4 linked regions of the Neodiprion lecontei genome follow. Each later gene encodes a partner of the first gene's protein in a complex. Links are inferred from orthologs where the notes say so. Each region holds a gene or a part of one and is shown on either strand. Other genes may lie near its edges. The genes, in order: U6 snRNA-associated Sm-like protein LSm2, U4/U6.U5 tri-snRNP-associated protein 2, U6 snRNA-associated Sm-like protein LSm7 and U4/U6 small nuclear ribonucleoprotein Prp4.

Region 1 (6,657 bases):
GTTTGTCACCTTTCTTCTATGCCGTCTCGTTCACAGGTCATTACTTGAACGCGCTGAGCATGCGCGACGGGGATTCTTCCAGCTTCCCTTCGGCCACGCAGCCGCTCAACCCCAACAACCCTTACTCACCCGACGGTAAGTTGTTGACGCTTCACCGTCGCCGCCGCCTTCGTTTCCCAAATTTTGCCCAACCAGATCCGACACGAGCTTTCGTTCACGTGTGAAATGTCCATGCGCCGAGAATAACTTCATTTTTTGCAGTCAATGGAAAATTCTACCAGGAAACATATCGTCACAGAAACAGTTTCGATACTGCGGAAATTACTGTTGTTAGTACTGGTATTACTATTGAGAGCGCGGATTGTAATTGCCAGTACTACATTTTCTGACTATTCCAACATTGAATCTGTTTGTTTATTTCCCTTCATTTTTCAGCTAAACAAGGCCTTGACAACAATTTATTGTTGCAACAACATCAATTTATCGCAATAGTTACAAGGACCATGATCAAAGAGAATATTAACACATGCATATATGTATATACCATACTAGATTTACAGATTACAGCTATAAAACTCATTTTTATCTTTGACTCTGAAATATATTTTTTCTGATAACGATAAAAAATTGCACCGTGCAGTAAACACGACTGGAAATGTCACTCATCGTTAGTGCAGAAGCTCGCGATCCTCGAACTTCGCTCTCAATTCCTTCCCCATTTCCTTCTTCGAGAAGACTATTTTATTCGATATACACTTTGCATCGTTGGCTCAGTTTATTTTTTGTGGGTTAATTCACTGAGGATGAGCGCACTGCGAAGTACCTAAGAATAAATCGAACCTTGTCTTACAGTTGACTGATTTTAAATACCAACCAAGATACTCTGATGTTTTCGATTTTGCATATTTTCCTCATCTGCGTTTCAGACACATACGCGGGACATTCCGGCGAGAGTTTCTGCAGCAGTGACCTTTCTCTGGACGGTACCGAGGCCGGGTTCGATATCGGGGATGGGGATAACGGGGGCCCGGATGGGAGTCATCCTGGTGGGCCTCATTCCCATCACGGACCTCCCCCGCACGAAGCGCCGACACTTTCCCAGAGCCTACACGCCGCGATGCATAATCCGATAGACAAACTCTTCATGATGCAAAGCAGTTATTTTAGCGGCGAACATGCGTAGGGGTTTGAGCCTTGGAGCCTGGGGCTTGATCAAGCTTAAACTGAAACTTACGCGTAATGAATTTCACTCGAAGATTATTTTTCAAACGAAACGAACAAAGTACGCGCATGTATGTAGATGTACCTTTTACGAGTAGAGATTCAACGACCTGCTGTGTAATATTGTTCTAGTCAGGTTTTCTTCGATGACCCGTAGAATTGGTAAACTATTATTGCTGTCGTTCGAGTTGTTGATTTTTAAACTTACTTCCTTCTCAGATACCGATTATTTTGATCAACCAATACTATGATTACTTATATATATTTTAATTTATTGAAAAAAAAAAAATTAATCACCCAGTTACGTATATTTATTTCATCGTATATAGCTAAATCCAAAGAATAATCCGTTGCTTTAGTTTTACCGTATATATATACTTCGTTGAAACATCGATTTTCAGTTTTAAATATGAAGATTGATACCAAATAAAAGAGATGTAGAAGAATATTTGTATTTACGTTTAATAATAAGTGTACTTTAATATATTATAATAATAAAAAGTTGCTAAACCAAATATCGTTACCGAAAAACTGTAATATGGGAGGATTCTATTTGGTTTTGGACAGAAGTAATGATATAAAAAATAATTATTTTCAACCCGACCTGATTAGCAATAGATACGTAAATTCAAAAATTCTCTTGGCAACAAATCCCGAATAAAATGACATAACACTGTACCTCAAGCACGTATGGGATAAATAATTACACAAAATAATCGTTCAATTTCTCATGTTATTCAAGACCCAAAAATTCGCAAAAAAATTGCCATCTGCTATTTGTACAAAATAGGTTTTATTTGTAGTTTCTTACAATCATGTTGCTTTGAACTTTCGCCAAACCGTTGACAACAGATTCAGTGATTTGTTACAAACGTGAATAAACACCCGTTTCGTAAATTAAATTTAAATAAATTAAACTTTATCAATCAAACCGTACTGAACATAACTGTCTATAATACGTCTTATTGTAAATCGTAACATACATGTAAGCATTACTGGTACTGATTTGTTATCGGGTTTGTACAGCTGCCTCTTTCCGTGCAGCATCTTGCAAAAGCTGTGTATCAACCTCGTCTCCAGGAAGTTGAACGTACCTCACTACAGAACCACGAATGAAACAGTTTTTCACTGACAACTGTAACAGACGACCAAAAATTGGATCAAGTAATTCTGTACTGCCGAATCACAAAATTAAGGAAAGTAGGATATCTCCAGACATAGAATAATTCAAGTAAATGTTTAATACGTGTTATTGTGTACTGGCTTCGCCGGATTATAGTTTCTTATAACATGCATTACTGATCAACATGTGGTAACTTTACAAACCATGTGAGGATATTTATCTGGATCCGTCACACTGATGTCTGTGAGCTTGATGTTCAGATACTGGTCCACAGAGTGTAAGGTACCACAAATACTGAAAATATAATAATAACAACGGTGAGTAATTGGTATTTGCAAAAGCTGACTAAGAATAATACATAATGCAAGTTTGATCAATATTTAGATTGCAGACAGAAATGAAAAAATGGACTGAGTTACAATCGGTCAGAAAAGTGAACAGGATTGCTTGTTAACTTAGAATGGATACAGAAAAAAAACTTGTAACATTTGAAAATTGTAATTGGAGCTTTCAAACATATCGTATGATAACAACAATAGAAATAACTCTCACAACTCAAATAAAACGAATAAAGCTCAAATGACAAGTTTGAAAACCGAGTGACAACAAACTGAGAACACTGACTATCTGCAAACCCGGAATTTGTATTCATATTTATTCAAGTACATGTATGTGGACCATTGACGTTGTTGAATTTCTCCGTATCTTCCGAATCTCGAATACTGAATGGAAGTATATTTAACCACGGCAGATTATGCGGAGAATGTTTACGATTTATTGTTGCATATTTACGTTACCTCAGGTCATTTTTCAACTCCACTACGACGTCCTTCCCGACCAAAGATTTGAAAAACGAGTAGAATAACTGTAAAAGAGAAGAAATAAGACCAATATTACAACCCCTCAACTGTAGATAATATACAAAGACGTTTTTAAATATTTCGCTAACCATTTTTACCGAACAACATAGAAAATCACAGGTTATGTGTCTCGTTCAGTTTTGGAGGTTATGCCGCTTCGTTACAAAACCGAACATAACGCTCTCACACGCAGCTAGATATCGATAGTTCAGATGCCTAGTTTTAGGTCGATAGTCGATGGAATGTCGAGGTATCGTATTGATAAAAGAATCATGGGTTAATGCGCGCGGGACGCATGAGCGGAAGGGACAGGCAACTTACGTTCCCAATATGTACGTATAGGTACGCACAAATGTGCAGAATAACGCTAATGACTTAACAAATTTTGGTAAAACGTCAATTGAAAACTGTGAATAAAATTAAAATTTATAATCGATGTACCGTATTGATTCGTACGGTATAGAAGCTCCGTTATTTGGCCTGGATCGGGTTGAGATTTGGATGTAAATGTACATAGTTGGGAACAAAGAGAAGAAATGTGATAAATACGGTTTACGTAATTTAAAAAGGATAGATATATTTAAAGCGCTCCAGCAGAGAAAGGAAGGTACGCGAATGCACCGGACGGAGAGAACAGCATGGGGAATATCCAGGTCGGAGAAGGACGGTTGAACGTTGCGAGGTGGTGGGGGTGAACCACATGGTTCCCAACATCAGCTTCGCTGTAGGCAAACATCGCAATTTTCACGAACCATTAGTGCGAAAACGTAGTTGAGACCTACGCAGTCCTAAGGATTGCGAAGATACTATTACGCGTTTAGGGCTTGATGTGAGCTTCTATTGCGCAGCGATTATCGGAGATCTTACTGTTGCGGTTGTCGACGGGGACAAACTCTCGTGTGTTAGGAATAAAATAGAATAAAAGACGGAGAAAATTTCTACCGAATAGATCAAAGGTAGAACACAACAAAGTGGGGGTGTGTGCCTGACTGTCGCAAAATTTCGTTGTCACGCGCTAAAAATAATACGGAGACGAGTTTTTAACAGTGCCATGCTGGTTAAAAACAATAACTGATAAATCATTTAGGAGGTTTTTTTTTCATCAAGTCATGGAGAAATTAACTAACATCGCGTATTATTTTCGTTGGAGGCTTCGGGAGAAGGAAAATGTCCCCGAAAAATACGACGAAAGTACGTCCGAAAATAATCGTCCCGGAGACGTTAAGTACAACTTTAATACGTCCAACAGATTTTTAACAATTCTGGAAAGCATTTTGCTCTGGGAGAATTCAGTGAATAGTATCTCTGTCGTCATTGTCTTCAATTTATTGTTCTGGTAAGTTGCACGATATTACCCGTTGGCTGAATATTTTTTCTCTTTTTCTTTTTATCGCATACTAAATTTACCATACTCTCATAAAAATTGATTTGCAATTTATATGATCACAAAAGAAGCTAACACGTCGTGCCACCTTTTTCAACATTTTCTGTTTATACCTCTAAAAATGTTTCTAGCGATAACAATGAGAATTTAAAATTTGCAGAATCATATAAAATCATACAAGTTAATGAATCGAATATTGTAAGAGTAAAAAATTTATTTTTCTCATATGAAAATAAATTATAACTCTCGGTCTGCTGGCGTCTTTCTTCTTAACTAAAAATTGATTTTGTAACATGGTAAAGTAGAGGTATTGAAATTTGATGGTGAAACATAGCTATTGCCGTAAATTTGTTTCAACGTCGTATGTGTACATATGAGCAAATGAACTTTACCTATACAGTCTAACTCCGTAGAATGTAATGTATTAATTATCAGCTGTTCACAGCGTAGATATTCACAACAAGCTATCGGAAGACAGTGTGAATTTGTATATAAACTTTAATGAGATACTATTGCAATGTATTATTCAGCCTTGAATATGTATAATCTGTTTTTTTTTTACTGATATGAACACATGATCGTACTCAATTCTGTGCGACCAGTATTCAGGAAGTGACGCTGGAAGATAAATCAGATCTTATCTGTAGTGGTGATACACAAACTTGTTTTTTTCAATTGATAGAACATTTTATTGAACCTTTGACTCATTATAAGTCTAATTACAAATTTTTACCTGTTACCGAACATAACAATCAAAAAACTATGATCTTCGATATTTTAGCATAACTACGAACAGTTATACATTTATTTATCTCAATTTTTTCAGGGGAATTGTCGTATTGGAGGTTCGCGGTTTTGCGGCAGCCAGCAGTGCTGCGCTAGTCGTGGTCCTCTGCTACAGCACCCTTGAGACACAGGCCCAAAAGGATAATAAATCACCAACTGTAGCGACGTAAGTTATTGCTTTTGACATTTCACATTTGCATGGATTCATCGGTAAGAGATTTTCTTCAATGTAAAATTTTTGGTTATTCGATAATGATAAATAACCCAGATAACAAATCATGTGTTTACAGCCCACATGTCAAGTCAGAGCAGCTGAACAAAATAGTTCGTCAGCTAAAGTCTGGTGTTGACAACCTCAAGCAATTGCGCAAACAACAGCCAGGAGTGGTAGGATGTTTTCATTTAATAAATATTACATCATTATTTTTACTTATTTGAGTTTAATCGCGTTCCTTCAATTCATGTGCCAAATTTATTTTAATCTTATCTATAGCTGTTGAATGATATAAAAATAAGTATTTTCTATTATGGCCTTTCCTTTTCCCTTCAGTTCTGCGCTTCTACTTGTGCAGTTTCGTTGGGTCTCTGGCTGACAGGACGAGCAATTTCTGGGACACTTTTAGCTTACACAATTTTAATGAGTATCTTAGTAGGACCTGGGATTCTTTTGCATATACCGTGCAAAGTTATGACGTCTAAAGGTGAATGACAAGTGAGACTTGATCAAGATAAATTGCAGCTGTTTTGGATAGAGTGTTAAAATTTTTGAAGAACTAACTCTGTATTTACCAAGCATTAATCTGAAGAATTATTCTTACAGAATGGGATAGCGAAATAGAAGAGTTTCTACCTGCGGTTACAGAAGATAACTTACAAGTGTTAAAGCGAGCAGGAGAAAGTGGGGATCAAAGTCTTACACCGACTAGTTTGTCAGTGGAAAATCAAATTGGTACAGTTTTCACACTTTGATTTGTAACAATAGCAACACTGCTGAGGGTTGAAGTCATTTTTTCACATTACTGATACTTTAACTCCGAGATAGTTTTCTAGTATCTTATATAGTAATTTCACTCACAGATCCTCTTAATGACAAAGAATTGGTTGGTCTAAGAATGCCTTCCCATGAAGACGGTAGCACGGACGGTTTGGAACTGTCCGAATTGGAATTAAGTACCGACGATGTTGAAGTTGATGGCATTAAGTTCCAAAGTGGTCATTTTGAAAGAGGATCATCATCTGAGGAAGAAGCCGAACTTCAGCCACAGAAAATTTCTCAACATAGC
Region 2 (8,997 bases), on another chromosome or scaffold:
AAAAAAAAAAATTCGGAATTTGACGCCTTCGGAACTCTTCAAATTCGGAATTTCAACCCCGTCCCAATCCCCTCGTCAATTACGAACATTCAAGTATGCGTACCGCAGGATCGCCCTGGAGGGACAAAATATCGCTGGCAATCCTTGAGCTGCAGGAGAAGGGAGAGATCCAGATGCTGTACGACAAATGGTGGAAGAGTCCAGGCGACACGTGCATGAGGACCGAGAAAGGGAAGGAGAGCAAAGCCAACGCCCTAGGCGTCGACAATATAGGTATACATTTATGCACGTATCTACAGACGACGTATTACGTGATAATGTTTACATATGTATCTCCGAATGGGAGTTTAATATTGCACACCCTCGCTCTTTCAACGCGTCATTAAGCCCGCCGCCTCAAATTTGTAGGCGGAGTATTCGTCGTCCTTCTCTGCGGTCTCGCATTCGCAGTTCTTGTTGCGATATTCGAGTTCTGCTACAACTCTAAAAGAAACGCACCACCGCCCGCCGAACGAGTGAGTTTCATTCATCCGGGTGGCAAAAATTTGTCGAGGACTTTTGCTACAGCTATGTGGCTGAAAGTAGTAGATTAATTTTTTTTTCTTTTCTTTTTTGCGAAGAATGGCATTGTCCATTCCGCACAATTCAATTGCACGCTTTATACTTTGCTCGCTTTGCTATTGCTTCGTAATTAATGCAGGTACGCAAGTTTCTTTATTTTACTAACCAAGAACTCGTCTCGAGGTAGTAAAGATCGTTGATAGGAGTATTTAGTTCGCATAATTTGATGCTTCTTGTGTTTAGTGCTATTGTTTTGCTACGATTTTCTTCACGAACAACAAGTTTTGGACGAACTAATCTGTTTCGTTTCATGACTAAACCCATCCAAGATTCAAACATTACAGCATGAACTCGTGGATTGAAGCATGACCGAAAATCTTACTAGCTTCACCGATTCGACGTAGGCATGAAGGTGAGACACGGTTAGACACAATCGTAAACGTGTTTGTAACAGAAATTTTCATTTCGTTCATATTTACTTTAAACCTTAGACCGAGAATTCTCTCGTCAAAATTTAGAGACCCATGATCGGCTTCTACCAAACGTTTCACCAACACGTCGACATTCTTTTACACGCTGCAGCAAATTTATTGAAACATCAACTAGACCTTTCCATTCGTAAAATCGTGGCATGGACGTTTGAAAATCGTTTCTATATCCGCCCTGCACGCTGTCTATGCAGAATTTCGCAAATGGTTCGCCGCGCAATTTTGCGAATGTCCTTACGCTCGCAGGAACTTATGAAACGTTGGCGTTTCTTTTTTCTTCTTATCCCGCAGCAACGGCCAACGGGACCTCCGACCTGCTCCGGTTCCCTGCAAGGCATTCCTCAGGCAACACAGCAACAGCAACAGCAACAGCAGAATTCCAACCCCCAGGAATCGCTGTGCTCCGAAATGGCTCGTGAGCTCTGTCTGGCGATTCGCTGCAATTCTTCAAAGCGCAGAAGACGGGGATGCGAAAAATGCTCGTCAAACAGAGGATCTGGTTACCTCCAAGAAAATCAAACCCCCACACCGATTAACGGGATGAGGTCACAGGTGATTTCGTAAATGCGTATAACGTCTTCCTTGGAAATGCATGCGATTCGAATATGCCTGGAGATGAAATCAACCCTCTAGGATATTTGCAATTACATCAATCGCCGGTTTTCAACGCGCAGCTTAACATCCGCAGATCGAACGTCGAAAGAGTTTGTATCGATGGAAGTTTGCTCGTTCCTGCAGTTGGTTTGTGTGTGTTTTTTTTTTTTTCTTCTTTGTTCTCTTATTATTTATTTATTTCAAACTCTCGAACTCGCTTTCCGCTGCACCTGTAGCTTTTGTTTTTTAGTTTACACCCAGCTAATCGAAAAATAAAGCTGTCGCAATTATCGCTGCGTATAAATTAATTTGTAAAGCACTGAGTATGTACAGTACCACGATAACCGTGTAATTTTGTAAGAGAAAAAACAAATCCCATTTGAAATCGGCATTGTTGTAGGTGTATAAAAAGTTTCGCACAACGGGAAAAAGTTTGAAATTTTTTCAGAGGAGTAGCTTGGGGGGCGCCATCGACCTTCCACCCCACATTCACATGCATCACGGACTTTCGCACGACTTCGACGTTGATTACGATTGAAGATGGCAACAAGTCCGAAGTTCTTCGTCATTCTTCGTTTTACTTTTGAAAAATTTTCACCCGAATTTTTCTCCTAGCGTGGTTGAAAATTTCACGCTTTACGTAAACTTGAGCAAAACTATGTCATTTCAATCGTTTATTACTTATTCATTTTTCCAGGCGTTCAACCGTAAGCGTTAATTCTGTTTTCTGGTACATTCTAATGCGGTCGGTACACGCGCGGTAGATAAATCCGTACGATCTCAGGCAGTTATTCGTGGTTTCACCGTCCTTTGCCAGATCAATTGTCTCAGATCTATAAACGGATTTACAACTCACGTTTGCTGATTGATCAGAGCCGAGTACAATTGAGTTCACTGCACAGAATTATTGTAATATGTAATTATAAACGATTTAGAGGAGTTGAGTTGAAATTGTGATTGTTATTGTTGGAACGACGATACCATGTGAACTATAGTACCTCTTGATACACATGACGTGTTTTACACGTCGTGTATAACGAACAATATAATATACAGGTGAATGGTAATGACGAATCCAAATCGCGATCATGATATATATTTATTGTAAATAAATAGTCGGTATAGATGTATACATACGGATTTAGTATGTATAACGATAAGCGAGAACTTGTCTAGTTTATACATTTGAATTTAAATGTGTAATTATTATTGTGTAATATCATAATAAGACGATGAATGTTAGTATTAAAGAGTACAACTTATAATATTTACACACATCTATACATGTTGCATTCGTGTGAGCTGTGCAGATAATTATGTTTAGGCTATTCATATTGATACAGGTATAATATACGTTGCATAATCCGTGAGAATTGCATTCCGCTTATGGTATTTTTTTCGTATTTCCTTGTACGATTATGCGGAAAAATAATCGAAAATGAAAAACGTTTTTGGAACTAATTTTAATTAATTCTTTTAATAAATGTAATTTTAATTATTTCAATTTTATTAAATTTTAAGTAAACGCAGGCTGGGTATCGATACATACTAAAGTGGATCGTTACACAAAGCGTAATAATAGCCATAGTGGAGTGCCAATGTAGTGGTCGAAACCGAACGAATTAAATTACCAAACGATGTTAAGTATTGCAGCATAAATAGATGTTTAACAAACTTTGTGTGCTTGAAATCTAGCCCAAACATTACTCATCATCTACTGGTGAATATCCCTGGGAAAACTGAACACATGGATTCACAAAAAGGATTGATCGATCGTATTGTCACTCGATACGATTGAGACCGTGGATACGTTGCCGTTCGACGATCAACTTCCTAAAAATCTCTGTGAAAAAAAAATCATTTCATTAAAGGAAAAAAAGTTTTATCGAAGTCATTTTTGAAATCGATAATTATTGCGTATTGGTAAAATAGACAAGCAGCGAATTTGTTTTTCTATTGAATCGAGAGAAACCAATCTATTCTTTCATTTCTTCATTTCTACAGCTGCGATGTTTTGCAACTTCGGTAAACAATGATTACGTAAATTAAGTATAGATCTTATCGCATTGACGCATGATTGTGCAAATATAGTGCGATTGGTTCATCCCTCTTGTAAATCCAGATTCTCTCCTACAATGGAAATGCGCTAGTTGAGTAAATGATAAATGATTAATGTTTTGAAATATATTTGGGTAGTCAAAGTTTCTTAGATTCTCGTTCTTGCTGCAACAACATCAATCGTTAATGTCTGTTATTTGTTTTGCTTCGACCGCTACAGCGGCACTTCGCTATGATAAGCACGCCCTGTATTATGCATTACTTGCCGGATGGTAAGTACCGCAAAGCGTTTACTGAAGATAACTATACATTTTCATTATTTAGCAAGTCCGCATTTGGCAAATTCACCGACTACCGATAAATTCGTCAGTATTTGAACCGACTCGAAGTAAGTTTCATTCGACTCTCGAGTTATTCATCGGTAGTCGAAGAACCTCGATGGTCGGAGGTCGAAAAACTAACAAACATCAATGATGGCGTCCAGGAAACAGGGAAGTAAACTAAAGAGGAAATTAGTGGAACACGGCAGTGATTCGGACGACGATAACGATGGTAACTGTTGTAATTCAAATAATAAATAATACCGTTGTTTTTGTGATAATATGTCTGCCCGAGTAAAAAGTTTTTCATCAACGCAACGGCACATAACCTAAACTAACCTACAAGTTCGTCACGTTCGGCTTGCATTTTATTACTTGATTGAAACATCAATTATCCTCATTCCCAATTAGACATACAGCAAATATATCCGTTTTTGCCAGTAGTAAGTGATTCCGAATTCGGGAAACTTGTTTATTATCTCAAGTGACAAACCTTACCTTGAATCTTTGAGTATAATTCATTGAATGACTTTGGTATCTCGATTTTCATGCCTCGGTATCTCGAAATCATTTACAAACCGATCAATTTTCATGTGGTTCATTTTTATTTTCTTACAGCGCAGCAAAAAACCTATAGATCGAACTCAGAGGCTCCACGTCTGTGCCCTTACCTCGATACGATCAATCGTCAATTCTTGGATTTTGATTTTGAGAAATTGTGTTCTGTGTCTCTTTCCAGAATCAACGTTTACGCTTGTTTAGTTTGTGGTAAATATTTCCAAGGTAGAGGCACTAACACTCACGCCTATACTCATAGCGTCGCTGAAAGTCATCATGTATTTCTTAATCTTCACACGCTTAAATTTTATTGTTTACCGGACAACTATGAAATTGTCGGTAAGTTGACATACCTATATAATATAAATCTTCTGATTTCGACTCAACCCTGACCCTGTTGCTAATGTTTACAGATTCATCCCTTGACGACATAAAGTACGTTCTAAATCCTACTTTTGATAAATGGCAAATTTCTCAGTTGGACAAAAGTGACAAATTATCCAGAGCTATAGATGGCTCGATGTATTCACCCGGAATAGTCGGAATGAACAACATTAAGGCAAATGATTACTGCAACGTCATTTTGCAGGTAAATTTGGACAATCAACGCCAAATATGACACTTGCGAAAAGCAACCTCGATATATTTTTCTGTACAGGCTTTGTCTCACGTTACTCCATTGCGAGATTTCTTCCTGAGAGAATATAATTACTCCCATGTGAAACGACCGCCAGGAGATTCGTCTTACCTTCTAGTCCAGAGGTTCGGAGAGTTGATGAGAAAGTTATGGAATCCCAGAAATTTCAAGGCTCATGTCAGCCCGCATGAAATGCTTCAAGCTGTTGTATTGTGGAGCAAAAAAAGATTCCAATTCACAGAACAAGGTTGTCCAGATTTTTACGATGATTATACGCACGTTTCTTGTCATGGTGAACTCACATTTTTGCGCCACAGGTGATCCGGTGGATTTTCTGTCCTGGTTTCTCAACGCGTTGCATCTGGCGCTAAATGGGACGAAAAAAAAAGACTCTAGCATTATATACAAAACGTTTCTTGGCCACATGCGGATTTATACACGGAAAATACCGCCACTAGAACTGGAAGAGAGTCAACGAAGTGAGCTTCTGAATACACTCGAGTATGGAGAAACCGTAACTGAAAGCCCTTTCTTGTACCTGACTTGCGATCTGCCCCCACCTCCGCTCTTCAAGGACCAATTTACGGAAAATATCATTCCTCAGGTTAGCAAGGCAAATCGATATTGTTGGTCATCACGTAAAACTCGTTCCATTCAATATCGGGCACTTTGGTAATTTTATTCTTTAATTGACAGGTGAATTTGTATACATTACTAAACAAGTTTAATGCAGTAGCCGAAAAAGAGTATAAAACGTACAAGGAAAATTTCATGAAGAGATTTGAAATCACCGAACTACCACCTTATCTTATTTTGTACATCAAGGTACGTGAATAAAATACGATTTACGAACTAATTATTCAAAATTAAAAAAACGATACCAAAAACTTTTTTACACGTTACAGAGATTTACGAAGAATACTTTCTTCGTCGAGAAGAATCCCACCATCGTTAATTTTCCCGTCAAGTGAGTGCTTGCTTGCTTTTGTACTTTTCAATAACGCAATTACAATAATTACATTTGAGTAAAATAATTTTTTCCCCAAATTACATTGCAGAAATGTAGATTTCGGTGATATCCTCACGCCGGAAGTTAAGGCTAGACACCCGTACACGACGTACGACTTGGTAGCGAACATAGTTCACGACGGTGAGCCCGGTCAAGGAACGTACAGAGTTCACGTTTTGCACAGAGGGACAGGCCAGTGGTACGAGATGCAGGATTTACACGTGACGCAAATATTACCGCAAATGATTACGTTGACTGAAGCTTACATTCAGGTAAGCATATCATTACCCTGATGACCGTAATGCAACTTCATAATCTTACACACCAATTTATTGCAGATCTATGAATTACGGAGAGAAGCTGGCTTCGAAACCGAAGGATTCCAGACAGCGAAATAAATAATTGTACAAACAGGGAGGAGGACGCCTAATGAACCATTTAATAAAGTACGATATTTTAAACAATTAATAGCCACTGAACCTTTTCTCCACACAGAGTGTCTTGAAACGAGGAGAGAAGGATAGTAAAAAATCGTGTCACACAGAAACGTCCCTACTTTCAAACCAATCGATCGGAAAGCCAAGGATTTTCATTCAGGCTGAATAGTAATTTTTATTTATAGAAAGATGACGCACGCTCCGGGTCGTTGAACTAAGGTGGCAAAGAAAGAGAAAAACAGTAAATCGATACTGGTGACGCAATTTATTACCCATCGAATACAACTTTCAATTTTTTTTACGAGTAATCGTGCCCTTGAAGACTCCGGAAATTAGCAGCAATCGTTCGGCTGCGATATTAGGAAGAGGATAAGACGTAATGTACGATATTCAGATACATTAATCTATTTACAGATATTGTTGATGTTTTAAAACAAAAATCTGATTTAAAAAATAACGTCGTGCCTCACTTCGAATATACCGGCAGGGTTGCCAAGTCAATCCTGAACCTGAAAAAACAAAGAAGAAGCAAATGAGTTGGAAACAGGATCCCCGGGATCGGCAGTTCGCTTCACTGCGTTCCGTAGCCGTCGTTTGTTCGATACACGTGGAAGTATCGAGTCTATACGAGTCGCGCGTGGCCAATAAATCGCTATAAAACCTTTGAAAATCGCATCGCTCGGTAGTCGTCGGAGGTCACGCGATACGATAATTTCTTAAAAACCGTCAGAGCTTCGGATCGCGTGCAGCCGGCGTAAAAGCTCCTCAAAACATATCCGAAAGCGAACCTTCCGCGGCTTCGAACGCGTTATCGGCGCATGCGCAGAAGCCTCCAGCGCGGCCCGGCTCGACGTGACGCGCAAGGCGGCGGGACAACGCCGAACTCTCGGCAGCGATCGAGTCTTGAGTCGGCTCCGAGCCGTGCGCGAGTTCGTTTCATCGAAAGATAAAGGTATTCGTGTTTACACGCGGTCGGTCGACTTGTTTTCGAATCGAAACCCCCGAACGAACCGTCGTGAAGTTGTCTGTTGCCTATCTGTGCTGTGTACGTATCCGTGTGTGTGAGTGTGATCAGTGCGAGATGGATTAACCGATCGGAACTCATCCTTCTTCGAAATTACAATTTCCAAGAGAAACAGCCGAGAATGTAAGTAAAACAATTGAATTTTGATCACGCCGCGCGGTCTGTGCCTGCCTTCAAAGTCACCAAATCAAACGTTCCGATAAGTAAAGCAATTGAATCTTGCCCACTCGCGTGATTCATGCCTGTCTTCAGGTCTTACAAATAGACCGAACGTTGTCACTTGTAAGGTATGCACGGATGCATACACGATATATCGGCAGTTGGGATCGAAGAGGCGATTCTAATACCTCGCAGCAGCCGTGAATCGGAATTTCGGCAGGATAATGATGCTGTTGGTTTAAATGTAAATGAATGGTGCTGCTGCTGGCGGCTGTAACGGTTGTGCCTGGATCCAACACCTGACTACTCGCCGCATCGAGGTGTGTAATATACTGCCCTTGTCACGAATATTTGACCGCGCGACTATAGTCGAAGCGTCGCCAGTCAGCCGCCTTGAATGCACCTTATATTCACAAAAATCTCAGCCTTTTTTGTTATCAACGTTTTCAAATGCACACGGATCGCGGGCGGCTGCTGCACGCGCGCTAAGAATTAGATACAAAAACACCTCGATCAAGAGACGCGTTCATCTACCCGCGCAATTAACTGTACCGTTACCGTCTCATGCCTCGTTCATACATGGACGTATGCACGCCACACTAGGAATACCGTATCTACTATCTTGCGCGTAAGTCAGTGTAACGTGTTACGTTCCTCAGCTTTTTTGCGTGCGCCAGTTTCTCGTACATCATCTGCGGCGTGTGCATTCGATGTACACACGTGCGATATGTCTAGCTGTTTCACCTCGCCGTACGCGATGTAGGTATAGGTATACAAGTATTTCAACAACTGAGTAAACTGGTTAATTTTACGAGGCTGACTGTTACTAACCTAATTGTAATGATTCGTATTTCGTAATTTTAGGAATCTATGATGTGCGGTAAATTATAGTAAGGCAGGAGTAATTCCTATTTTCAAAACATAGCCACTTCAAAGTTACTACAAAATTGCAAAATCGTGATCTTTTTTTTTTACCCCCTAATGTATCGTTACTAACTTCAGCATCGTTAAATTTTATCGTCGTCGTTACGACAATTGCGTGATATAATATCAAATTTATCATCACGGGGTTGCAGTTTTAGCAACGTTTATAGCGCAACGATGCGTGCTTAGAAAAAATTATTTTTCGTCCCTCGTTATAGTATTGCTTGA
Region 3 (6,590 bases), on another chromosome or scaffold:
TCAGATACAGAGAAGGACCGCAACGCGGCACCGTCTTGCGACCCTGAAAAATGCCACCTGCCAGACTGTTGGTGTTCCAAAGAAGGTACCAGAGTACCTGGAAACCTGAGCGTCTCCAACATTCCCCAGATGATCTCGATAACTTTCAACGATGCCGTCAACGCCGAAAATATTGACCTTTACTCAAGTAAGCATCATCGGAGAAAAAAATCGGTAGGAAATCTGCCAGTGAAAATTGACGATTCCTTGACAATGACGACTCGAATTTCCTTCAATCGCATTGCGAATTTGATTCTACGAAATCAGGAGTACATTTTTCGCAGTACACTTTCATACTTTTCAGACATATTCAACGACGCGAGGAGAAATCCGAACGGATGCCCAATTCGTGGTACATTCTACGTAAGCCATCAATTCACAAATTACAGAGACGTACAAAGTTTGTGGAACAATGGCCATGAAATTGCAGTTCATTCCGTAACGTGAGTATACGTGTAATGACAGGACATCCAAGCCGAAACAAATAATATATTCAGTTCCATGAATTCATCGCCGAACGATAATCACGGCGTAATCGTTGAAAGAAATTCCTATTGCAGACATCGAGGCCCTGAAGAATGGTGGTCGAAAAATGCAACTATCGAAGATTGGTTCGACGAAATGGTCGGGGAGGCGAATATCATACACAAATACGCGGGAGTACGAATCGAGGAGATCAGAGGTACAGTAAAAGAAATATGATAAATTCATATTCCAATTCGCGAATTCCATAATGATCGGTTAACAGGACTGCGAGTGCCGTTTCTCCAAGTCGGATGGAACCGTCAGTTTCTCATGATGACGGAGTTCGGATTCGCCTACGATTCGACAATCGTAGCCCCGTTCTCGAATCCACCGATTTGGCCCTACACCCTAGATCATCAACCTCCTCACCCTTGCGGCAGCCCCGGTCAGTTGTGTCCAACACGTTCGTACCCAGGCCTCTGGGAGATACCGATAAACCAACTGCTGCTAGGGGTAAGAATATCTCCTCGAGGCATGGAATATTGGTCTCTGAAGTTTCTATTTAATCGCTGTTTCGGTTCGTGTTTTAGAATTACACGTGCACCATGATTGACTCTTGTACGCGGGATCTGTCAGGGGAAGAAATATATCGTATGCTGACGGTTAACTTTAACAGACATTATCTACAAAATCGGGCACCCTATGGACTCTACTTTCATGCAGCTTGGTTCAAGAACCCAGCATACCACTACGCGTTCTCGGTAATAGTCAACTTTTGTCATCTCGTCGTTAAGAATCGTCACAAAATTAGTAAAGTCCTTCAATTTACAAGCATGTTATGTATTGATTATTATTCTGTATTCCAGAAATTCATTGACGACACTCTGCAGCTTCCAGACGTTTACTTTGTAACTAGTAATCAAATGGTTGAATGGATGCGAAATCCAACGCCGTTAAACAAGCTAAAGAATTTTCAGCCATGGAACTGCAACAAGCGGCAATTCGAGCCCCGGGAAATTGCCTGCGCCTTGCCGAACACGTGCAAGTTGTACAGTAGTGTCTTAAAGTCTGATAGATATTTGTACACGTGTTACGAATGTCCGAAACAATATCCCTGGTTAAGAAATGAGTTTGGATTGAACTAAGGTAACGGTTTTTCTTCTTGCGTTGTATTTTACTTACTTCTCTTCTTTCTCACAAATCAATTGAGGGTGAAATTAGATCAATAAGAATATCACGCAATATGCCATAATTTTAAGAACTTACGTAGTTACATCTAGAGTGTGTAATTACCACAGAGATTTGCTTGTAATTTGTTCGAATATGACTGAGTACCTTAATTAGTTGTAAGTAGGATATTTATTTGTACGAAGAACGTATTATATGTGTATCTACCATGAGAAGAAAACCACAAATGATATTTATTATCTAGTAGTGGAACGTAAAAATAAATCGATCATCGTGTGGTTAGGATAGATGTTCGAGTTTTACCAATCCATAGTCATTTGAAACAAATCATAAACCGATGGTCGATGGATGTGCACACATGGCGTGTCAGGTCTGTTTTTTTCTTCAAGCTTATGTGATTCGAAAAGGTTGTAGATAAAAATTTGTGTAATATAAACCGTTAACCATCTTGCTGAATGAATGGGTTCTGTATCGATTCCATTCCATCGACTGGACATATTAGAACAACCGACGTTCCTCGGCATACAACTAACCCCAGCATCCTTGTATCCTGATTCAATTTGTAGGGATCATCTGGATCTGAAAACGGCACAATCATCCACAATGTTACTCATTTGTTATTACTCTGAAAATTGAGTGATTTCAAACCAATTATCAAAGCGGTAATATCAATAATTTGACTTATAAGGACAGACGGTAACTGATTAATTGACTACGATGTACCTCTAAGATATTCAGTCGTGTTGTCTAAAACAAGATTCAGGAGCGGATCATATCCTTTTAGAATTCCTGCAGCTTCCCTGCCTCCGGCAAACTTTACCCTTATGTTCTTCTCAAGGTATTTGGAGAGATCCAATATACTTTCCTTCCTTTTCTTCTCCTTGTGATCAGTGTGAGCATTTTGGTTCTAAAAACATTATTCAAGTTATTATAACAGTTAAGTTTATGGACTTTGACGATTTTTGAAGGTTATGTTGCTGAAACATAACCTTGATTTACCTTATTAGCAGTCTGTAAAATAGAAATTTATGGAATGACAATTAACTTTCATATTTATAGGTAATAGTACCGAGTATTATAATCATGATGTATGTCTTGATAAACTTACAGACATGTTTTACTTCTCAGGTTATTCCAAGTAGTAAAAAAACAAGTGACCGCCGGTTAATAATACGAATGATTACTGTGAATTCCGCGTTCGTAAAATAAGGAAAAAAGCCATCGACCATAAACCGAAGACGTACCGACACATGTAGATGGTCAACTTTATGGAAATGATCTTCTGACGTGGAATTTAGTGGGAAGTATGATTTTGATTACGTGGAAAGTAGAAAATAGAACGAATTAAGTGAGCAAAGACGTTGCGGATTTGTGAGATGAAATTTTTTTGGCCGTAAAAAAGAAAGGCTAACTTTTTAACCTTTTGAATTTCATTGGTATAAAATTTGTCATCTCTGAACGGAAATTTTTTTACGTGTCTCTTCAGCTGTTGATCTCACAAGGTTTTGAAAGCCTTATATGACTTCTGTGGGGTCTAATTAGCCTAGTAAGGATCGCACAAATCGATGCTGAGATAAAAAAAATTTTTGTTTCAAATATCGCAAAAAATGTAAATTCTTTTAACTTTTCAGGTCATATTTGGCAAATTTTAGTGAATGCTGAAATCGATTAATTCATACCCAATATCAACGTAATTTTGAGAGAGGAATTCATTACGGCTGGCAAACCGAGTTGCAAAGAGGTGGAAGAGAAAAATAACAAATTCATAGCTACCAAGTTCCAGTTCCAGTTTATTCAATGTACCTTAGTTCTATTACAAGTGTTCAGGTGTCAGTGTATACTAATTTACCAAATTTCCAAATAGTATAGTTCTAATATGTTGCACTAATGCATTATAGTATTCATGATATAATATATCAATAATTCCTATAATAATACATTCACTGGTATAATTAGGATAATATTTCCAACGTTATTGGTGTTCAAGATAAAAAGTTGCAGAACAATGAACTAACATGACACAAGGAGTCTAAATACAGCATAGGGAAAAAATACTACGATATATATTGCATTAAGCTGAATATAAACAATGTTGTACAAAATAATTATTAATGCAGTTTCTAAGTGCGGTTTCAATTTCAGCCTTAGTACAGGTGCAATTCACCGTCGCAGAAAACGAGACGTGTAATAGAATACAATAGATACAATAGATTGGAATGTTACGATTTTACATAACCTGGAATAAAATAAATAACACCTAGATAATTTCTCCCTACTTTCTTCATACTATCTTTACTGTTGGTACCACGCTCTTTTTGGTGCGTTTTCTGAGTTCCTGGTGGTCCAATTAGTCATAAAAGCGTCATACAAATCGAATCTGAGACCAAAAGTTTTTTGCCCAAAAAAAAAGTAAGGCTAACCCCTTTGTGTTTTTGGCTAAAATTTTCGCGATTTTGAAAAGTGCTGGAATCAATTCTTTGGCGCCCTATATCGACGTAATTTTGCAAGAAAAATCGATTGGGCGCAGTAGGAACACGCTGCGAGCAGCGGGTCAAAAGTTACAGCCAAAAAACCAGAACCTGAATTTTCGACATTTTTCAGCTGGTGCTCTTTCCATCGTAATTTCTGTGCTGTTGGTCCTACGCTCTTTTTGCTGCGTTTTCTGAGTTCCTGCCGGTCCAATTAGTCATAAAAGCGTCATACAAATCGAATCTGAGACCAAAAGTTTTTTGCCCAAAAAAAAAGTAAGGCTAACCCCTTTGTGTTTTTGGCTAAAATTTTCGCGATTTTGAAAAGTGCTGGAATCAATTCTTTGGCGCCCTATATCGACGTAATTTTGCAAGAAAAATCGATTGGGCGCAGTCGGAATACGCTGCGAGCAGCGGGTCAAAAGTTACAGCCAAAAAACCAGAACCTGAATTTTCGACATTTTTCAGCTGGTGCTCTTTCCATCGTAATTTCTGTGCTGTTGGTCCTACGCTCTTTTTGCTGCGTTTTCTGAGTTCCTGGTGGTCCAATTAGTCATAAAAGCGTCATACAAATCCAATCTGAGACCAAAAGTTTTTTGCCCAAAAAAAAAGAAAGGCTAACCCCTTTGTGTTTTTGGCTAAAATTTTCGCGATTTTGAAAAGTGCTGGAATCAATTCTTTGGCGCCCTATATCGACGTAATTTTGCAAGAAAAATCGATTGGGCGCAGTCGGAATACGCTGCGAGCAGCGGGTCAAAAGTTACAGCCAAAAAACCACAACCTGAATTTTCGACATTTTTCAGCTGGTGCTCTTTCCATCGTAATTTCTGTGCTGTTGGTCCTACGCTCTTTTTGCTACGTTTTCTGAGTTCCTGGTGGTCCAATTAGTCATAAAAGCGTCATACAAATCCAATCTGAGACCAAAAGTTTTTTGCCCAAAAAAAAAGAAAGGCTAACCCCTTTGTGTTTTTGGCTAAAATTTTCGCGATTTTGAAAAGTGCTGGAATCAATTCTTTGGCGCCCTATATCGACGTAATTTTGCAAGAAAAATCGATTGGGCGCAGTCGGAATACGCTGCGAGCAGCGGGTCAAAAGTTACAGCCAAAAAACCAGAACCTGAATTTTCGACATTTTTCAGCTGGTGCTCTTTCCATCGTAATTTCTGTGCTGTTGGTCCTACGCTCTTTTTGCTGCGTTTTCTGAGTTCCTGCCGGTCCAATTAGTCATAAAAGCGTCATACAAATCGAATCTGAGACCAAAAGTTTTTTGCCCAAAAAAAAAGGAAGGCTAACCCCTTTGTGTTTTTGGCGAAAATTTTCCCGATTTTGAAAAGTGCTGGAATCAATTCTTCGGCGCCCTATATCGACGTAATTTTGCAAGAAAAATCGATTGGGCGCAGTAGGAACACGCTGCGAGCAGCGGGTCAAAAGTTACAGCCAAAAAACCAGAACCCGAATTTTCGACATTTTTCAGCTGGTGCTCTTTCCATCGTAATTTCTGTGCTGTTGATCCTACGCTCTTTTTGCTGCGTTTTCTGAGTTCCTGGTGGTCCAATTAGTCATAAAAGCGTCACACAAATCCAATCTGAGACCAAAAGTTTTTTGCCCAAAAAAAAAGGAAGGCTAACCCCTTTGTGTTTTTGGCGAAAATTTTCCCGATTTTGAAAAGTGCTGGAATCAATTCTTCGGCGCCCTATATCGACGTAATTTTGCAAGAAAAATCGATTGGGCGCAGTAGGAACACGCTGCGAGCAGCGGGTCAAAAGTTACAGCCAAAAAACCAGAACCCGAATTTTCGACATTTTTCAGCTGGTGCTCTTTCCATCGTAATTTCTGTGCTGTTGATCCTACGCTCTTTTTGCTGCGTTTTCTGAGTTCCTGGTGGTCCAATTAGTCATAAAAGCGTCACACAAATCCAATCTGAGACCAAAAGTTTTTTGCCCAAAAAAAAAGGAAGGCTAACCCCTTTGTGTTTTTGGCGAAAATTTTCCCGATTTTGAAAAGTGCTGGAATCAATTCTTTGGCACCCTATGTCGACGTAATTTTGCAAGAAAAATCGATTGGGCGCAGTCGGAATACGCTGCGAGCAGCGGGTCAAAAGTTACAGCCAAAAAACCAGAACCTGAATTTTCGACATTTTTCAGCTGGTGCTCTTTCCATCGTAATTTCTGTGCTGTTGGTCCTACGCTCTTTTTGCTGCGTTTTCTGAGTTCCTGCCGGTCCAATTAGTCATAAAAGCGTCATACAAATCGAATCTGAGACCAAAAGTTTTTTGCCCAAAAAAAAAGGAAGGCTAACCCCTTTGTGTTTTTGGCGAAAATTTTCCCGATTTTGAAAAGTGCTGGAATCAATTCTTTGGCACCCTATGTCGACGTAATTTTGCAAGAAAAATCGATTGGGCGCAGTCGGAATACGCTGCGAGCAGCGGGTC
Region 4 (8,899 bases), on another chromosome or scaffold:
ACACAAACCGAATACGGGACCAAAAATTTTTTGATCGAAAAGTGAAAAAAAAGTAAGGCTTTTGCATTTTTGTCGAAAATTTTGGCGATTTTGAAAAGTGCTGGAATAAATTCTTTCATGCACTATTCCGACGTGATTTTGCGGGAGAAGTCGATTGGGCGCAGTCCCAATACGCTGCGATCAACGCATCAAAAGTTACAGCCAAAAAACGAAAACCTGTGTTTTCGACATTGTTCAGCAGCTGCTTGTTCCTTCGTAATTTCTCTCCTGGTGCTCCCACGCTCTTTTCGCTGCGTTTTTTCAGTTCCTGGGGGTCCAATTAGTCGGGAAAGGGCCATACAAACCAACTCCGGGACCAAAAATTTTTTGATCGAAAAGTGAAAAAAAAGTAAGGCTAACCCCTTTGCATTTTTGTCGAAAATTTCGGCGATTTTCAAAAGTGCTGGAATAAATTCTTTCATGCACTATTCCGACGTGATTTTGCGAGAGAAGTCGATTGGGCGCAGTTCCAATACGCTGCGATCAACGCATCAAAAGTTACAGCCAAAAAACGAAAACCTGTGTTTTCGACATTTTTCAGCAGCTGCTTTTTCCTTCGTAATTTCTCTCCTGTTGCTCCCACGCTCTTTTCGCTGCGTTTTTTCAGTTCCTGGGGGTCCAATTAGTCGGGAAAGGGTCATACAAACCGAATCTGGGACCAAAAATTTTTTGGTCGAAAAGTGAAAAAAAAGTAAGGCTAACCCCTTTGCATTTTTGTCGAAAATTTTGGCGATTTTGAAAAGTGCTGGAATAAATTCTTTCATGCACTATTCCAACGTGATTCTGCGAGAGAAGTCGATTGGGCGCAGTCCCAATACGCTGCGATCAACGCATCAAAAGTTACAGCCAAAAAACGAAAACCTGTGTTTTCGACATTTTTCAGCAGCTGCTCTTTCCTTCGTAATTTCTCTCCTGTTGCTCCCACGCTCTTTTCGCTGCGTTTTTTCAGTTCCTGGGGGTCCAATTAGTCGGGAAAGGGCCATACAAACCAACTCCGGGACCAAAAATTTTTTGGTCGAAAAGTGAAAAAAAAGTAAGGCTAACCCCTTTGCATTTTTGTCGAAAATTTTGGCGATTTTGAAAAGTCCTGGAATAAATTCTTTCATGCACTATTCCGACGTGATTCTGCGAGAGAAGTCGATTGGGCGCAGTCCCAATACGCTGCGATCAACGCATCAAAAGTTACAGCCAAAAAACGAAAACCTGTGTTTTCGACATTTTTCAGCAGCTGCTTTTTCCTTCGTAATTTCTCTCCTGTTGCTCCCACGCTCTTTTCGCTGCGTTTTTTCAGTTCCTGGGGGTCCAATTAGTCGGGAAAGGGCCATACAAACCAACTCCGGGACCAAAAATTTTTTGGTCGAAAAGTGAAAAAAAAGTAAGGCTAACCCCTTTGCATTTTTGTCGAAAATTTTGGCGATTTTGAAAAGTCCTGGAATAAATTCTTTCATGCACTATTCCGACGTGATTCTGCGAGAGAAGTCGATTGGGCGCAGTCCCAATACGCTGCGATCAACGCATCAAAAGTTACAGCCAAAAAACGAAAACCTGTGTTTTCGACATTTTTCAGCAGCTGCTCTTTCCTTCGTAATTTCTCTCCTGTTGCTCCCACGCTCTTTTCGCTGCGTTTTTTCAGTTCCTGGGGGTCCAATTAGTCGGGAAAGGGCCATACAAACCAACTCCGGGACCAAAAATTTTTTGGTCGAAAAGTGAAAAAAAAGTAAAGCTAACCTCAAAAATGTTTTGCCCAAAAAAAGTAAGGCCCTCTGCAGTTTAGGTGAAATGTTTTGTACTTTTTAAAAATGCTGGAATTAATTCTTTGACGCGCCAGAGCGACGATTGTTGCCTGAGAAGGTGAAGGTCGGGGGTTCATCGCGAGGATCACTTGACATGCAAGAAATTCGAAAAAACAATAGTCTTCGATCCGCCGTTCGCAGCGAGTTGAGCATGTGCACAACGGATTTGTCTGGGAAAATCATGTCGCCATATAGTTGAACGAAGCGATGGGAATGTCCAGCATTTTTCAAAAATTCAGTAGTGGCCTTCAACGTTCCGCGATGTTTTGGAGGTCGAAAATTTGTCTACTTAGAGTCGTCTTTCAAGAGCTTTTTGTCAGAAATTGAATTCTCCGGACTTCAACAAAGGCCTCTAGAACATTGTAGGTTTTACAGCTGAGGAAATATAATCAAACTAGTTCGTTTATGGTCACTAACTTCAAAATATTAAAATATTGATCTCTGAAAGATAAATATAGGTGTTTATTTGTATTAATTTCATTCGGCCAAATTAAGCTGATTCGGCGTTATACAAATGGATTGATTATAGATGTTTCTGAGAAAATCGCACGTTTTTGTTGTTAAAAATGACGCATGTCACCAGCTTCTAGCTGAGGTTGCCTGCAATTAAGCCTGCCTTCTATCCTCTGTCGTGCACGTTTGATCGCCTGCAACTCTGATTATCAAATTATAAAATTTTCCATCTCAGAAATAGTATTCAGCGCTCTAAATATACTCACCACATCGTTTGATACTGCAAATCATACAGAATACACCACAAACATTGTTACCCGTACAGCAGTACAACGATAAAACAATGTTTTATCATGAATTTTCAACAGTCATAGATTTAATTTCCTCAACATGGTAACCCGTGTCTCTCTGTTCAGTCGATTCTACTTACAACAGGAGAAACAGTCACTGAAAATTTTCACTAAAGACAATGGGCATTTACAGGATTTATAGCAAATATTTTCTTTTTATTTCACATGTTTTCAGGTGCCCAGAGCTTAAATGTTCTATCATATGAGCTTGTGACTATAAATTTGTGGTCAGGAGAAACGTCGCAGCACATTACTTTGCCATCATGTCCTGGCAATGTCTTCAACGGTTGCCACGTTTTGTTGGACCAAATTTTCGCAGTATTGTCATACGACGCCGTGACCAAATACTGCCCTTCAGTACGCTGATACTTCACGTCTGATAATAAATTGGTGTGTGCCGGTATAGTGTAAATACACGATCTTTTTCGTAAATCCCATATTTTGCACGAATTATCCTCGCTTGCAGTAGCCAGGTGAAAACCATTAGGCGAAAAATCAACTCCGAAAATAGATTTCAAATGACCCTCCATAAACATGATACAGCGGCCTGTTCTCAGGTCCCAAACTCTGCCAAAGGAATCATGGCCTCCCGTAGCAACAACGCTGCCGTCACATTGGAAACTGTGAAAAAAAAACCATTCAGTCAACCATTGTTTCTGTCACCACATCAAGATCGACTGAAAAAATTTCTTCAAGAATAGTAAAACTATATAATAGTATCAACCTTATACAATGTACTGCCTTGGCATGACCCTCTTGATGCAAAACTTCAGCTTGTTGTTCCAGATCCCACAGTCGCCAAGAAGCATCGTGGCAACAGGTTCCTAAAAAGCGACCCGATGGATGAAATGCAATCCTTGATACTCTATGGGGCTCATGACCTTCAACTTCTGCTAACGGCTCTTCACTTTTGCCTCCACCCCACAGCTTAACACTTCCTAGGAGAACATAAAGATAGAGATGACTATATAGATAAATCAGCTAAGCAACAGACCAGTCATAATACAATCTTATAGTTAAGAAGCTGAGCATCCACTCTGTAAGTATGAGCAAGTCAATCACTGACTGATAATATGACCGATTTAAGAATGCATAGATGAATTTATGCATGCAAATGAGCAATACTTTCTCATGTGAATAAGCAGTGTAATTTTGATGTGAACAGATTTCTGGTGAGCTATAAAAAAATCTGCTATCGAATTACAAAATAGATGCATTTCTTCATGAGTCAACAATACATGTCCTTCACCATGTCAATAATTACCGTCTGAAGCACAACTTGCTAGAACACATGTAGGCGACGCATTTTCTCCCAGCATGTCTTCAGTGAGTGTTGCATTCGGATGGAAAACAATACAACTTACATTACAGGTATGGCCCCTGAGGGTTCTGGCAATTGAGCATTCAGGTACAGACCAAATTTTGCAAAGCCCAGACCAGGAAGATGTTGCCAGTAATTTTGAATTCGGACTGAATTGGCAAAATGATATGGGACGGCTGTCTCCAATTTGGGAGCAATAAATGCTGAGAGCCTGTAATTTTTTCAGAAGTTCCTGCCGACGTGCAGTACGTGTAGCCCCTGGAAGCTCTAATTCTTCTCTAGATTTTTCAAGCCGATCTCTTGCCCTGGGAAGTGAATACGCTAAAAAAAAAAACATAACTGTTACAGTGCAAACTTTTGATTTGAATCAATACGTTTTGATACTTACATGCTATCCACGAGCGGGCAATTTGAAGGGAATCTGGTCCTTCGTGGTACCAAGTTGATTCCGCATCTCGTTCTGTCTGATGCAATGGCCGCTCCTCGTCCTCATGTTTTTTTTTAATAGCGTCTTCACCTAAGCTAGCCAATAATTCTCTCAACCTGGACCTTCTGTCTGCTGGGCCTTCACCAAACAAACAAATTGGTTCCCCTAATTGGCGCAGATTGTTTTTCACTTCCGAATCATCGGTGGAAACATTAATCTGCCTGGCTTTTTTTCTCCGCTCAAATTCTTCGAGCAAAGCTTGCCTGTCTTTAGACATCTCATCTTCAAGTTCCATGTATTCATTTGATATGTGCACATTTCCCAGGGCAGCAGCAGTTGTTGGCGTATCTGATGGACTCCTATTATGATCTCTTTCCTCATCTGAAGATTCTGCAGATGTAGCTGTGAGCCGGGCACGTTCAGCTTCCTCAAGGGATCCATAATGCACAGTTTTTTGCTTTTTTACATAAACAAGGTCCTCGTCGTCGGACATTTCAATTATATCCAAGTAAAAAAATGTATAAATACGTTATTTTGTTTAAATACTTCACAAAATGCGGCTTATAACGTTTATAATCTAGGTTAGGCTACGACCATTCACAGAAGTTTTGAATTAACGGTCTACAGAAATGCTATAAAGTAAAGCAAAGTATTCTTTGATTATAGTGATTTCACTTGCTGCAATCAATTCATCTTTTTTCGAACGAATATTAAGTGTTACACAGTCACGTTATTGTAAATTATCATTGACAGCCATACTGGACGCTATTCCAGGCATAGACTACTTTTTCACCGATGGTACAGATCAGTCTAGAGCACGATCGTACTTACAGGTCTGAAAACTCGGGAGGTGGGGGGTCTCCAGCTTTGTCCATAAATTGTATAGTTCTAACATTGGTTTCATGCACGATTCGCGAGGCATCCCGGGCACTGATATATGTATGTATATATACACATGCAAATCAGTGTGATTTGAGTTCTTTGAGAAAGTTGAAAACTGTCGACTTAAAATGTTCAAAATAATTAAGCAAAGTCCCACACAATCTTATGCAGGTAGACTTATATCCCTTATGTCCAGCATTCATACTCGGAGCTATAACCATATTATTGCATTCTTGTCTAATGCCATTGCAATTGATTAACTGTAGTCCATGCTGAGTATTCAATATTCTTGTGAAAGTTTTGTGAAGCAACAAATCATTAGCACTTGCCCTAAGGGGATATAGCCACGAATTAAAAAAGAAGACATTATGAATATCTTAAGGTGCGAGAAGCATGTCTCAGGAAATTTGCAACCACGCTACACTGATTTTTTAAACTCCAACAGGGTAGCGACAATTTTGCTCAAATAAAATTCTAGACTTTTCCCTGACTTTTCCCGTCGAAAAATTAAAAATTCCCTGATCTTTTTCTATAAACCTTAGGTCACTTTAGTTGGCTTTTATGACCAAAAGCTCCAGAAATTATGCACCTGAAATATATAAATTTGGATTCAAGAACAGTGGGGTTTCGTTTCACATAAATAATTACAAATTGAACAATATCATTTCCGAATGTTAGCTTAGCTGAATTTACGAAGCATAGTTGAAATTGAAAACTATTTATAAAAAATTACGTTTTTCACCGTTCTCCATCATAATTCCCTGACTTTGCCCAATAGACGAAATTCTCTGATTATTCTCGGTTTTCCCGGATTCTGGGCACCCTGTCCAATATATGTATATGCACAGTAAAGCCTTAAACAGTGTTTCAACTATGTACGCCACTGACTGTTACCTCAGCAAAGTAAGTAATTGAACCTTTACAACACTTGTATTTTTCGGATGGTCAAAGTGGTAAAATTAAAGAAAAAACGAAACTGGTACACATGTTACTTAAATATTTAATACTATTGTGAGATTATCACTTGATACTTGTTTCCTCTTACTGTGACAAAAATTTGACTGATTTTAAAGAGATAAATATTAAGCACATCCAAGATGCAATATTTTCCCTATTACGAAGTGGCAAAGTCAAAGGACGGCATTTCCAACGGGGCAAGCGGCGGCAATGGGGCAAGACTTATTGAACTATCTTCAGTGTTTGAGTGGAGGGACTCCTTGTCAGGGGCTGTCGCTGCTCTCAATTGTTCAGTGAGTACTTTAATCTGTTGTTGACTAGAGTCGAGCTGGTTCAATAGTGTTCCGATTAACAGTCGCAACTGGCTGTTGACTGTTCGCAGTTCTTCTAGCACAACAGCTGAATCTTTTGGACGTTTTACCGGTATGGTTTCATTTTGCGGTGTCAATATTAGGTCTATCAAACTGTCTTGTTCATCCATTGCTCTGTCGATAGCTTGATGAAGAAACTTGTCATCTTTGTCGACGGTGACAAAGTTCCTCGAACTCAAATTTGCAGAGTGCTTCGCAATCTGATTAGACAGCAGTTCTTTTTCGTGTGTTTCCAATGCTGCTTTGTACTCTTCGTATTGAACCTGCTGCATTCTGTAAAAGTAATCGAAGTGTTCAGATATATCGAATCGCTTTCAAATTCAAAACTAGAAGCTTCCGAAAGTTACAGCTCGACTGAACAAATTTACGAAAAATTACGATTACTTGAGCAACTATAGTCAATTGATAAGGGTTTACGGTGAGATGGGGAACAATAACCTCCTAACAATGCTATAACCATTGCTACCAAGCTTCAGTATAATAAAACTCCAATGTGCGTAAAAATAATATTAGGACGTATAGAAATTGTGAAGCTTAAAACAATTCTACATACATGCATAATGTATATTGCATGGGCGAATTAGATTACCTGACAAATGCTGCCTGTTTGCGATGGTAATCTCGTTGCAGCTGGATGGATTCAATAGCAGTGTGTAATTGAGATGGCCTTGTCAAGGGGTTCAAACATCGGGTCGATTCCCCAACCTCGAAATTCCGTACGTTGTCAAGGTTAGGCAACTGTATCTTTATCTGGACTTCAGAAAATAGCTGGGCAGCCTGTTCGTGGCACCTCGCAGCCTCCTCATACCTCCTCTCGTTGACTAACGCCTCGGCCCTACGTTCCACGGCATGGGCCTTTATCAGATCCCGCCCCCACCCCATCCATCATCAACCCCCACCGTGACAAAGTGACATAAATAATTCGTTATTATTATTCCTCGCACCATTGTTATTATTATTCAAAAACAAGTAATAATGTTTGTTTAGACGGGATCTAACAACATATTTATTGACGTGAATACTTACCGTGTTCAAGGTACATCCTTCCATTATCACAAGGAATTATGGCTCAGTAAATGTTTCACTGTCGAAGAAAATCCGATAAACGTTAACAGTTGCCAATTACTATGTATCGAGAGGCCGAAAAAATGCCTTCTCCCATCACACTCGAGTTAAGCCCGTGACAAATTCTCTACTTTGTATATTACATACACGTACATTGAATGTATGTACAAATGCAAACATACCGACATGCATACCGTCAGTCGTTTGCGATAGAAGCGCCAACTCTGGTAGCTGCCAACACTGTATGCAATTAGGTGTTGCACACTGAACTATAATCTAACAAGTACGCTTGCTATTCTACGGCACAGAGAGGCAGCGAACCGAGAGAAATTTTGTCTGGTTTATGGCGTCGCGCATGCGTTCGTCAGAGTAGCGTAAAGCATCTGCAAAAAGTTAAACCACCAACACTGTGACCACGGTTGACATAGGCGCTGTAAAAGCGCTGCAAGAATACATTGAATTCTCGTTTACTCGAACTAGCTTTTTGGAACGGATTGTACGGAAAGACCCCACTATAGGTATTATGACGCTATTTCTCGGCTCCACGGTCTTACATACAGGTCCGGAAACTAGTAGGGTGGGGAATGACTCAGATAATGAGGCAAAACCGTGGTTTTCGTCTTCGCCGTCTGCAGCGCTGCCCCCTCGGGGTGAGCCAATCATAAATCAGATCCGAACAGCTGATTTTTCGGAATCAACAATCCTGCATTTTTTACACCGTTTACACACTTTACACTGAGTTATGAACTGTGAAAAACTTCGATGAGCAGGTCATCTTATCGGTATATATCTATATCTATTATACCCCGGGCCAATGGCGCCCCTAGCGGATAGATAGGAAACAAGACCGTGTGCCTCACTAACGGTGACACCCCCTACCACTCAAAAGTGCCGGAGTTACCAGACCTGTATGTAAGACCGTGCTCGGCTCGCATCGAAGGCATATTCAGTGAGTGTGCTACGGCGCAGCCCTTCGGAAGAACCAATCGAAAAGGTCGGCTAGTTGACGTCACAGCAGTCGGTCGATTCAAAACTGTTTGAGATTCTGAAGTAGATTAGAATGTTATACATGAAACGTTGATTGAATTCTTCAGTCGACGCATAATGGAAATGTGAATACATTTCCCTCTGCAGGTCCCACCACGATTCTTAAGCCCCATAACCGAACAGCTGTACATTTTATTGAATTCATGAAACGATCCGAGTCAACGTGAGGCGTGACCCGCTACGTTTGTTCCGTA

The links.
Region 2: U6 snRNA-associated Sm-like protein LSm2 (region 1) and U4/U6.U5 tri-snRNP-associated protein 2 share a complex: the UniProt entries of both Homo sapiens proteins name them as parts of the U4/U6-U5 tri-snRNP complex. The link is inferred for Neodiprion lecontei from reciprocal best matches to the Homo sapiens genes LSM2 and USP39.
Region 3: U6 snRNA-associated Sm-like protein LSm2 (region 1) and U6 snRNA-associated Sm-like protein LSm7 share a complex: the UniProt entries of both Homo sapiens proteins name them as parts of the precatalytic spliceosome. The link is inferred for Neodiprion lecontei from reciprocal best matches to the Homo sapiens genes LSM2 and LSM7.
Region 4: U6 snRNA-associated Sm-like protein LSm2 (region 1) and U4/U6 small nuclear ribonucleoprotein Prp4 share a complex: the UniProt entries of both Homo sapiens proteins name them as parts of the precatalytic spliceosome. The link is inferred for Neodiprion lecontei from reciprocal best matches to the Homo sapiens genes LSM2 and PRPF4.

What each region holds. Positions count from the first base shown.
Region 1 is NC_060261.1:37,242,571-37,249,227, reverse strand, and holds U6 snRNA-associated Sm-like protein LSm2, read right to left. Parts: upstream 3,546-6,657; 5' UTR 3,537-3,545; coding exon of another isoform or gene 3,442-3,536; 5' UTR 3,297-3,441; coding exon 3,294-3,296; intron 3,210-3,293; coding exon 3,142-3,209; intron 2,639-3,141; coding exon 2,548-2,638; intron 2,357-2,547; coding exon 2,231-2,356; 3' UTR 1,996-2,230; downstream 1-1,995. Other genes in the region: LIM homeobox transcription factor 1-beta-like, read left to right, coding at 37-135, 927-1,183; reticulophagy regulator 3, read left to right, coding at 4,314-4,540, 5,415-5,540, 5,665-5,761, 5,925-6,075, 6,195-6,323, 6,452-6,657. UniProt on the Homo sapiens protein: Plays a role in pre-mRNA splicing as component of the U4/U6-U5 tri-snRNP complex that is involved in spliceosome assembly, and as component of the precatalytic spliceosome (spliceosome B complex).
Region 2 is NC_060260.1:4,203,420-4,212,416, forward strand, and holds U4/U6.U5 tri-snRNP-associated protein 2, read left to right. Parts: upstream 1-3,279; 5' UTR 3,280-4,171; coding exon 4,172-4,253; intron 4,254-4,639; coding exon 4,640-4,918; intron 4,919-4,992; coding exon 4,993-5,168; intron 5,169-5,237; coding exon 5,238-5,463; intron 5,464-5,533; coding exon 5,534-5,820; intron 5,821-5,912; coding exon 5,913-6,041; intron 6,042-6,121; coding exon 6,122-6,183; intron 6,184-6,274; coding exon 6,275-6,497; intron 6,498-6,563; coding exon 6,564-6,623; 3' UTR 6,624-6,671; intron 6,672-6,847; 3' UTR 6,848-7,119; downstream 7,120-8,997. Other genes in the region: glutamate receptor ionotropic, kainate 2, read left to right, coding at 109-273, 409-515, 1,341-1,601, 1,738-1,794, 2,092-2,181.
Region 3 is NC_060260.1:39,227,764-39,234,353, forward strand, and holds U6 snRNA-associated Sm-like protein LSm7, read right to left. Parts: upstream 2,883-6,590; 5' UTR 2,807-2,882; coding exon 2,801-2,806; intron 2,704-2,800; coding exon 2,692-2,703; intron 2,600-2,691; coding exon 2,416-2,599; intron 2,272-2,415; coding exon 2,132-2,271; 3' UTR 1,652-2,131; downstream 1-1,651. Other genes in the region: chitin deacetylase 1, read left to right, coding at 5-187, 344-482, 600-721, 788-1,017, 1,095-1,265, 1,371-1,649. UniProt on the Homo sapiens protein: Plays a role in pre-mRNA splicing as component of the U4/U6-U5 tri-snRNP complex that is involved in spliceosome assembly, and as component of the precatalytic spliceosome (spliceosome B complex).
Region 4 is NC_060265.1:31,357,565-31,366,463, forward strand, and holds U4/U6 small nuclear ribonucleoprotein Prp4, read right to left. Parts: upstream 6,096-8,899; 5' UTR 4,877-6,095; coding exon 4,345-4,876; intron 4,278-4,344; coding exon 3,900-4,277; intron 3,574-3,899; coding exon 3,360-3,573; intron 3,257-3,359; coding exon 2,797-3,256; 3' UTR 2,273-2,796; downstream 1-2,272. Other genes in the region: nuclear receptor-binding factor 2, read right to left, coding at 6,380-6,866, 7,183-7,448, 7,620-7,643. UniProt on the Homo sapiens protein: Plays a role in pre-mRNA splicing as component of the U4/U6-U5 tri-snRNP complex that is involved in spliceosome assembly, and as component of the precatalytic spliceosome (spliceosome B complex).